2 linked regions of the Xenopus tropicalis genome follow. The protein of the gene in region 1 purifies or fractionates together with the protein of each later gene. This does not show direct contact. Links are inferred from orthologs where the notes say so. Each region holds a gene or a part of one and is shown in the gene's direction. Other genes may lie near its edges.

Region 1 (4,368 bases):
GTAAGTCGCCGGTGAAATGGCATACACATAGCTTAGGTTTTCTGAAATTCGCCCAAAGTTTTCTTGTGAGGAACTTCACCGACTTCATAAAACCAAAGTGACCGTATGCCATCCCACCAGTGATTTACATTCCTGTCAGTAGAATGGCATTTCAGGGAGATAAGTCACCTCTGGCAGTAAAGATTTATGGCGGCGACTAATCGTGCCGTTTGCCACCTCCCTTACTTATATAAACTGTAGGGCAGATGACACAAGGAGATTAGTGCCCCCCAATTAGCCTCCTCTAGCAGTGGCAACTAATCTCCTCTACCTTGCTTTTCTACCAGCAAGGGTGTAAATCGCCGCTAGGAAAATATAGGTGCTGCTTTTTTTTTTCCAGGGGGGACTGTGTGTTAGCACCCTAGATTTCCTGAAGCAAACACACATTTTTTACCTGAGAGTAATCTATTACACAGTAAGTTTCCAATAAAAAAAAACTTCTTTAACATTGAAGCTTGCATTTGCACATGAGTCAGCTGACAGGTTCCACCACAGGAACACATAGGGGTATATTTATCATGCTGTGTAAAAAATGGAGTGAAACATCACCGGTGATGATGCCCAGGGCAATCAGAAATTAGATTTCAACAGTTAGAAAACCAAAGCAAAGCATCTGATTGGCTGCTATGAGCAACATCACTTTTAATGCTTTACTCCACTTTTTACACAGCATGATAAATATACCCCTATAGACTTTTACAATTGTATGTTTTCTAATGGACAAAAGGCAGAGCAAAACGCTGACAATTTCTTATCAGAAAGTTAGTTCAGGTGATTTCTGTGCTGTCTGGCACCATTTATAGTAGCTCTGAGGCACAGCCATACTGGCATTTGGTGGATTTTGCTACTTTAAGATGCCATTAGCAGTCACTATTTAATGGGTCTATGGAGGCTGATAAGGGCTCTGTGTACTTCAAATACCAAAGCCTATACTGAATCACAGGGAGTTGTGGTCCAAACCAGCTAGAAGTCCAGTAAGGGGCACCTACTCGTATGTTCTGCTTTGCTGTACGTTGCAATTATGGTGAATGCTGTCAGCCCCTGTGCAGCCACTCCCCATACATACCCCTTTCTAATTCGACACTGACTTACCGCATCCCCCTGGTCACCGCCGGCTTTATACACACAGGATATAACCTCATTGTGCAGAAGCAAAAAGAGGGCTTCATCAGCCATATCCTGCTTGTTCATGCCTACAGCAATCTCTATCTCTGATTGGGCGAAGATTCGGGGTGGAAAAAAAAACAGCAAATTACTATTGGTTCCAGGGCAAATCTCTGACAGCAAAGCCCATTGCACGACTCTTCCCTGTAATTAGTTAACATTATCGCCCCGCCCCCTTCCCCCCACGGGTCCGCAATGTTACGTTCCACTTCCGCTTTAGGACTTTCAGTGCGCTGGCTGCTGGCTCTTGATTAGTTTGTTCAACGACCCGGAAGTGATTGAGACGCGCGATTAGGGCGGAGAAAATGGCGGTGGCTGTGCGAACTCTGCAAGAGCAGTTGGAAAAAGCAAAAGAGAGCCTAAAAAATGTCGACGAAAACATACGGAAATTGACTGGCCGGGACCCGAATGAGACTAGGTGGGTTCCAGGATTAATGCATGTGTTGTGGTATTAAGGTTCCGCTCTGGTTCCTGGTTGGGTTGCGCCGCATGGCAGGCATGGTGTATGAAGCATTATACAGGCCACTGCCCTCATACAAACTTCCAGAAGGGCCTGCGTGCAGGCGATATCGGCCTTAGGCTGCAGCTAATTCGTGAGAATACGCAAGGCTGATGGGCTTCTTTATCATTTGTGCAAACTCGCAGGCCGTGCTGCAGCATTGTGTTTAATGAATGGTTCTGCCTGTGTAGCCCTGTGTGGCTTACATAGTGCTTATTAGGCAGTGAATGGGCTTTAACGCTGAGGCAATCATCTGCGGACGCGGGGAAACTATGTTTTTGTTGCGGAACTATTTTATTTTACTACAGTATTTTACACATATTACAACAAAGGGCTCCAATCCCTATTTCCCTTTCTAAATTGATTGTGCCGAGACCAGGCTTCCCTATACAGATATAAAAGCAAATGTGTCTATATATAGCTATGGGACTTGTGGTACTACATTTAAATTGCAGCCCAGCCTATCAGGCATCTGCACTTCCTCCCAACTGTTTGTTTATACAGTAGTAGTGTTTGTAAAGCAGACTGCAGTGGAGCCATGGTGGCAGCCGCTCAAGTTGAACAAGGCAAAAGGGCTCCTACAGCAGATCAATAAACTTTGTAGAGTACAATGAGTGCAGTTCTTACACAAGTAGAAAAATAAGGGGTCAAATGCCTTTCATGGCATTAAACAATACTATAGAATTAAAGGGGCAGTTTACATTTAAATTAACATTTGGTATAGTAGGCATTTATATTCTGAGACAATTTGCAATAGGTTTTCATTTGTTGTGGCTTTTCAATTAGAGCTTTTTGTTCAGATATGTGGTTACTGGGGTCTTATTTACCTTAGCAACCAGGCTACTTCTGGGGCCAGTGGACACCCCCCCCCCCCCCCCACTGGAAATAAGCAGAAGAGTAAGGCAAGTAATTAAAATCTGTTTAAAAGTTGCTAAGAATAGGACATTCTATAACATACTAAAAGTTAGGGTAAAGATAGTGCTTAAAACCCTTCTCACATACAATAGGGTAATTTGTTGCCAAGTAATAGTTTTCAGATCAAACGTTGAATGTATAAAAATATTTTTACTTTTTGATGTTACTGGCCCTTTAAAGGAACAGTAACACCAAAAAATAAAAGAGCTTTAAAGTAATAAATATATAATGCACTGTTGCCCTGCACTGGTAAATCTGGTGTGTTTGCTACAGTAACACTACTATAATTTATTTAATAAGCTGCTGTGTAGCCACGGGGGCAGCCATTCAAGCTGGAAAAAAGGAGAAAAGGCACAGGTTACATAGCAGATAACAGATAAGTTCTGTAGAATACAATAGTGTTTTATCTGTTATCTGCTATGTGCCTGTGCCTTTTCTCCTTTGAATGGCTGCCCCCATGGCTACATAGCAGCTTATTTATATAAACTATAGCAGACTTTCTGAAGTAAACACACAATGTTTACCAGTGCAGGGCAGCAGCACATTATATTTTAGTTACTTTTATACACTTTCATTTTTTGGTGTTACTGTTCCTTTAAACAAAAGCACATATGTGAACTGGCTGTTTTGTGTAGGATCCTAACTAGGTTTCTGTTATACATATGACACAAATATGATGGGTCTTCATAGTGGTTACCTTGCATTCTCTAGCACCTCAGATCTTGGGTCTTTTATATTTGTGTCTCAAACAGATTTTCAGTGTGTTGTTTTTGTTGAGCATTAAGAGCAAGTGTCAGACTTTGCTAGAATCACTTTTTTTTTTTTTTTTGACAATTGCTGAACATCAGCTACTTTGGAAGAAGCATGTGTAGACAGCAATAATATAAAATATTATTTGTGCCAGTTTGTTAATGTGGATCCACCTCTGGAAGGGAAAGGAAATCTTTCTGCAATGCAAATGCTGATATTCAGCTCTTAGTGATGCAAATAATAATTTAGAAATGTTAATTGTGTATTATACACTGGGTATACTTACATGTTTTTAGCATCCTGCTTTTTTCTTACTATCTCTGGTAAGTTAGTTTCACTTTCTTTGGCTGCTGATCGTATACCTTTCAACTCTACGTTTATAGTAATAATCCTTTTATTGATTGGTGCATACATTTTCTGTGAAAACTGAATCAGTGTTCCTAATTTGTTTCAGGCCTGCACAAGCAAGACGACTGTCCCTCACAGGTCCTAATGTAGTTGGAGGTAGAGGCCGCGGTGGGATTTTACTAAGGTATGAAACTCATTGACATATTTAAAATCGTTGTTTATTACTTAAGTGAACTGTTTGTTGTGCCTGTTCCAGTTTGCCATTTTGAATATTCACAGTAAAGATTTGTGCACTTCTGTTGTACTTAGATGCTTAGCCTATCAGGTCATGGTAACATTACTGGGGGCCAAGTTGTTAGGCGCACCCCCTTTGAAAAAGATGAGCACCGGAACGTGGTAACAGGTTACAGACTAGAATCACTGGTTATACCTAAGCGCCCCACCCCCCACTTGTCAGTATACACCCCTTTTTAACATTAACTGAATGAATATGACTTGAGCTTGAACATACTTTTTGCCTATTGTTTAATTAAGAAATATCTATGTTTTTTTTTTATTTCTGGTACTAAACAAGAATGAGTCCAGTTTAATTTTAGAAATTGCTGGTCTTCAAAAAAAAAATTTTAGAGGAGCTGATCAAACTAATTACTTGT
Region 2 (4,601 bases), on another chromosome or scaffold:
GGAGCAGCGCTGGGCGCTTGAGTCAGGTATCCGGTGGGCCCTGGGTAACCCAGTCCAACTCTCGCTGTGCCAGTATAATCACTTGCACAAATGGCCAGTGAGCACTCCATTAATCTGAGACAAGCCTGTAAGATCACTGAAAGATTGCCAGTGAGCACTCCAATACCTCCACTCATGCCAGTAAGATCGGTAGATATAGTGAATGTATTACCTACACTTGCACAAGCAGAATACCAATAGTAAATGTTTTCTTTTCCTTGCGCTATCTCTCTACTTGGTGCTCTATCTCTGCCTGTCTTAAGGTGGCCACTTTAAGTTTTGCTCGCTTGGTGAGAGAGCGGATCTTCTCCCGATATCCCCACCTACGGGCCACCTGGGGCCAGATCGGGGACCGCATGGGCTCACTGATGCGGTCCCCAATCCAACTAAATCTTTTAACCTGCCCGATCGATATCTGGCCAATTTCAGGTCAGATGTTGGTCAGGCAGGCCCGTCGTTGCTGCCCCTACACTGGCCGATATGCTGCCGAATCAGTCTAAGTTTTAGATGCCTGTTTAGACGCCTGTGAAAAAAATCCAAGTTGCTCATGTGTTTCACTGTGGAACACACAAACTTCAGGTTTTGTTCTGAAAAGCAGGGATCAAAGAAGAACAGAAAATGTGGGGTGCAGGGAGAAGAAGGCAGCAGTGGCATGGGGGTAGGGCTAAGGTGGAGCAAGGGAAAACATAAAGACATAGTGGTACGGTGGGTTACCCAAATCAGTGGGCCCTGGGCAGATTCCCCGTTTGTGCCTTCATTTTGATGGCTTCTGGATTTTAGCATATTAAACATTTTAGGGATGAGTAGTTTCTACACCAAATAAACTATCCTTGTGCAATGGTTTTTGGGTGTGGTTTGAATGAAAACAGTATTACCCCCACTACAGTCATTATACACTTCTGGTTCTATATTTGAGGTAATCATATTATTTGGTTAGAGTAATTATTATGTAATTATTTTTATAATAAAGTTAATTTGCATTATTATTGACATAGTCACGTATGAACACAATCAATACCCATATACTGTGAAAGGCAAGCAATGCAGCCCCTCTTGCAGCATTGGGTATGGATGCCTGCCAGCAGGCTGTGCGTCAGTTAAAGGAAATTCTTGATGTGATTGATAATATTAGGTTGGGGATAGAACTTTCTGCATCAAATTGCATTTAGGGGAACGCGTAACATTTTTAACTCTTGGGTGTAATAGCCACTACTATATGTTATCTTATACAAAGAAAATAAAAATTCGCGTATTATGTGTAAACCCGCATCCTTCAGCCTGTTTCAGAACGCCATAGCGCCTTATGTTTTAATAAAACGAAACATAGCAGTAAAACTATCCCGCCCCCTTGTCGCTTCTGTAAGGTCACACGCCAAAACATGCCTGTGATAGTAAAGTTATGTCATCACGCATTTGCGTCTTGGCTTGTGGCCACAACCAACATGGCCGCCGCCCCTTCACCTGCGGGTCATGTGCCGAATCCCTTCTAGCCTGTTAACACTCGTACTCTATCATTGCCGGGGTTTGTGGCAACCGGCTGTGTTCGGAGCTGTATTCGGCGTGAAATGGCGGCGGTGCGAGGGCTTCGGGTGTCTGTGAAGGCGGGCGGCGGCGCTGAGCCCGAACCCATGGAAGTGGAGGAAGGTGAGGTGGAGGCCGCAGCAGACCGGGCTTCCCCCCGTGAGGTGGTGTCGGTAAGTTGCTTTTTAGGGCTCCAATAGAAATGTACGGTATCAATGCCTGATTAGTATGGCGACTGATAATTACCTGCGTCAGGTCGCCACACAGTAGAAGCAAGTCATATCACATACAACAGGCCGGCCATTCATTCTGTTGCTCGCCTTGACTGGCTCTGTATTGTGGGAAATGCAGTTCAGCTGCTAAAGTTCCAAGCCGAATGAGAATAAATGGGAGCATAGTGGCTAATCTAACAGTACAGACAGGACATTATGACTTCTCCCCTACAGAGTTTCCCCCAACAGATTTCTGTTTACCCAGGAGCTGAGGGAGCTCCCCCCGTTGTTTAGCCCGGACATTCCCCTTAATTCTGGTATCAAAGCCATTGCAGATTGTAGCCATGACTAAAATGCACTTAATGTAGATGTCTACCCTGGCACTAGATAGACCTTGCGCTATAATGTTAAGCACCAATAAAGGCAAAAATGGTCTGCCATGGCTGTCCTATAATACCCATCTGTGGAGTTCTGGCCCCTCAGGCATTCTGTGAATATGGAGTGATATTCTGCTTTTTCTTGATTCCCTCTGTGTTTTACCCCCAGAATAGAAAATAGTTATTTGTGTGGTACAGTGAGACCGTTACACTAATATACACGTTTAAAATGACAACATCAGGGTCACACTGGAAAATGGTACAGCCATAGAGACATCCACAAACTGTAGCAAGAGGTGTAGAATAAGGGTGATGACACATGGAGCAACTAGTAGCAGATACTTGTCACAGCTACAGAAATAGACAATGCTGATCATTTACTGATAATTGTCTCTATGTGTGTTTTAGCAGAGGCAATTCTCAGTATTGTCTATGGCAGGGTATTTTCTGATGTTTAGTAGTGAAGACAAGTAGCTGCTTCTAAGTAGCTCAGTGTGTCTTCACCTTAAGGTGTAAAATAAGTACTAAGTATTTATAAGTATTTATTAGTGTATAGTACTATATAGTACTAGTATTTATGTATGTGTGTGTGTGTGTGTGTATGTACTGGATATGGTTTAATAATATACAGTTTCTTTCCAAATATTTTGCGTCTCTTTGGTTCGTCCATTTTCTCAAATACATTTTTGTTTTAATAGGGCAGTAATCGGCGTTATGAGAACAGGGCTGGGACCTTTATTACTGGGATTGATGTCACTTCAAAGGTAAGAAAAAATGTTTGTCTCAAGAAAGCCTTCTGTAGGGGCAGTTCGGCCATTTGTGAAAGAGGTTGATGTAAACATGACCATATATGGAACACTTCATAAATAGTTTCAAAAAGAAAGTTAGATCCTACCTTTTTGGAGCACTGGAACATATCTTGTCTGGTACAGTCCTGGAATTTAAGGGCCAGTGCCAAAACCTCTTTACACGTTTCTACTCAATTTGTGTCTGTATGTTATCCACGGCTTAGATCCTGTGTCAAACACAAGGCTCATGGGCCAAATGCAGCCGCTGGCTGTTTTATATGGCCTGTGGGGAATGTGCCTGACTGTGCAGCACCAATCACGGAATGATGTAATACGCCCCACCCACCTTGCATGGCAGAACGAAAGCAGCTGCTCGGAGTGGCACTGGGACTGGAGCAGCGAGGTCAGGCACAATCATAGCACCACTGGGACTGAAGCAGCATAGTCAGGTGATTGCGCGGTCAGGCACAGTCACAGCGCCACTGGGACTGGAGCAGCGTAGTCAGGCGATTGCGCGGTCAGGCACAGTCACAGCGCCACTGGGACTGGAGCAGCGTAGTCAGGCGATTGCGCGGTCAGGCACAGTCACAGCGCCACTGGGACTGGAGCTGCACAGTCAGGCGATTGGTGCTGTAAGGTCAGGCATAATTACCATGGGCCACACAAAACAGGCAAAAGCAGCTGCTTCCACAGCACTGCGACCCTGCGCCACAAGTTTGCACCTGGTGGATGTGTCTTGTCCCACGGTTCCCACAGTTTGTAATTTAACTGTTTTGCCTACAGTTTGCTTTGTGCTTGTAGTTATTTTCAAAACTTGATTAATGCAGGAGGGTGGCGTGTAATATGGTGTTTCAAGGTGAGGAAGGATTTATCCTTCTACTACAGGTATGGGACCTATTATCCAGAATGCTCAGGACCTGGGGGGTTTCTGAATAAGGGATCTTTCTGTAATTTGGATCTCCATATCTTAAGTCTGCTGAAAAATAATTTAAATATTGAATATACCCAATAGGATTGTTTTGCCTCCAATAAGGATCGATTCTATCTCAGTTGGGATCAAGTACAAGGTACTGTTTTATTATTACAGAGAAAAAGGAAATCATTTTCAAAAATTAGAATTATTTGCTTATAATGGAGTCTATTGGAGAAGGCCATTTCCTAATTTGGAACTTTCTGGATAATGGGTTTCCGGATAACAGATCCCATACCTGTACTAAGTATTTTAATAAAAAATTCAGCCCGTGACTTAGCCTGTGTTTTATATTCCGGCCCCCTTATGTGAGTTTAACTCCCCTGGCTTAGATTGTATGCTCTATGCGACAGGGATCTCCTTCCTACTGTGTCTTTTAGCACATGGCTCTTAATCTCTATATATTTATACTTATTTATTATTCTTGTCCTCCCTGTGTGTATTTTTCTACTCTGTAAAATTGTGTGGTGCTGTGTATTCATGTAGTGCTTTGTAAATAAAGTTTTACATACATACATAAAAGCTGCCAACTGAGCAGCTTATCGGTGCTCAATAACCTGCTTGCTTGCCTATCTGACCAATATCAGGCTGGAATTATTCCCAGTGACCACCAGACAGGTTTGAAAATCCCACAGTGTGCAATCCTGCAACCAAGTACCCTGACCCAGTCCCTTTTTTTAATTTTATATAGAAG

The links.
Region 2: the proteins of pnn (region 1) and ncbp3 purify together in Homo sapiens (co-immunoprecipitation; 3 studies listed by BioGRID and IntAct, counting the BioPlex papers as one, with this or other methods). This does not show direct contact. The link is inferred for Xenopus tropicalis from reciprocal best matches to the Homo sapiens genes PNN and NCBP3.

Annotation. Positions count from the first base shown.
Region 1 is NC_030684.2:104,735,201-104,739,568, reverse strand, and holds the start of pnn (pinin), read left to right. Parts: upstream 1-1,426; 5' UTR 1,427-1,508; coding exon 1,509-1,621; intron 1,622-3,821; coding exon 3,822-3,899; intron 3,900-4,368. Other genes in the region: trappc6b (trafficking protein particle complex subunit 6B), read right to left, coding at 1,132-1,230. UniProt on the Homo sapiens protein: Transcriptional activator binding to the E-box 1 core sequence of the E-cadherin promoter gene; the core-binding sequence is 5'CAGGTG-3'. Capable of reversing CTBP1-mediated transcription repression.
Region 2 is NC_030678.2:48,484,131-48,488,731, forward strand, and holds the start of ncbp3 (nuclear cap-binding protein subunit 3), read left to right. Parts: upstream 1-1,494; 5' UTR 1,495-1,604; coding exon 1,605-1,733; intron 1,734-2,847; coding exon 2,848-2,913; intron 2,914-3,044; coding exon of another isoform or gene 3,045-3,065; exon of another isoform or gene 3,066-3,173; intron 3,174-4,601. Other genes in the region: tapasin-related protein, read right to left, coding at 3,045-3,065. UniProt on the Homo sapiens protein: Associates with NCBP1/CBP80 to form an alternative cap-binding complex (CBC) which plays a key role in mRNA export. NCBP3 serves as adapter protein linking the capped RNAs (m7GpppG-capped RNA) to NCBP1/CBP80.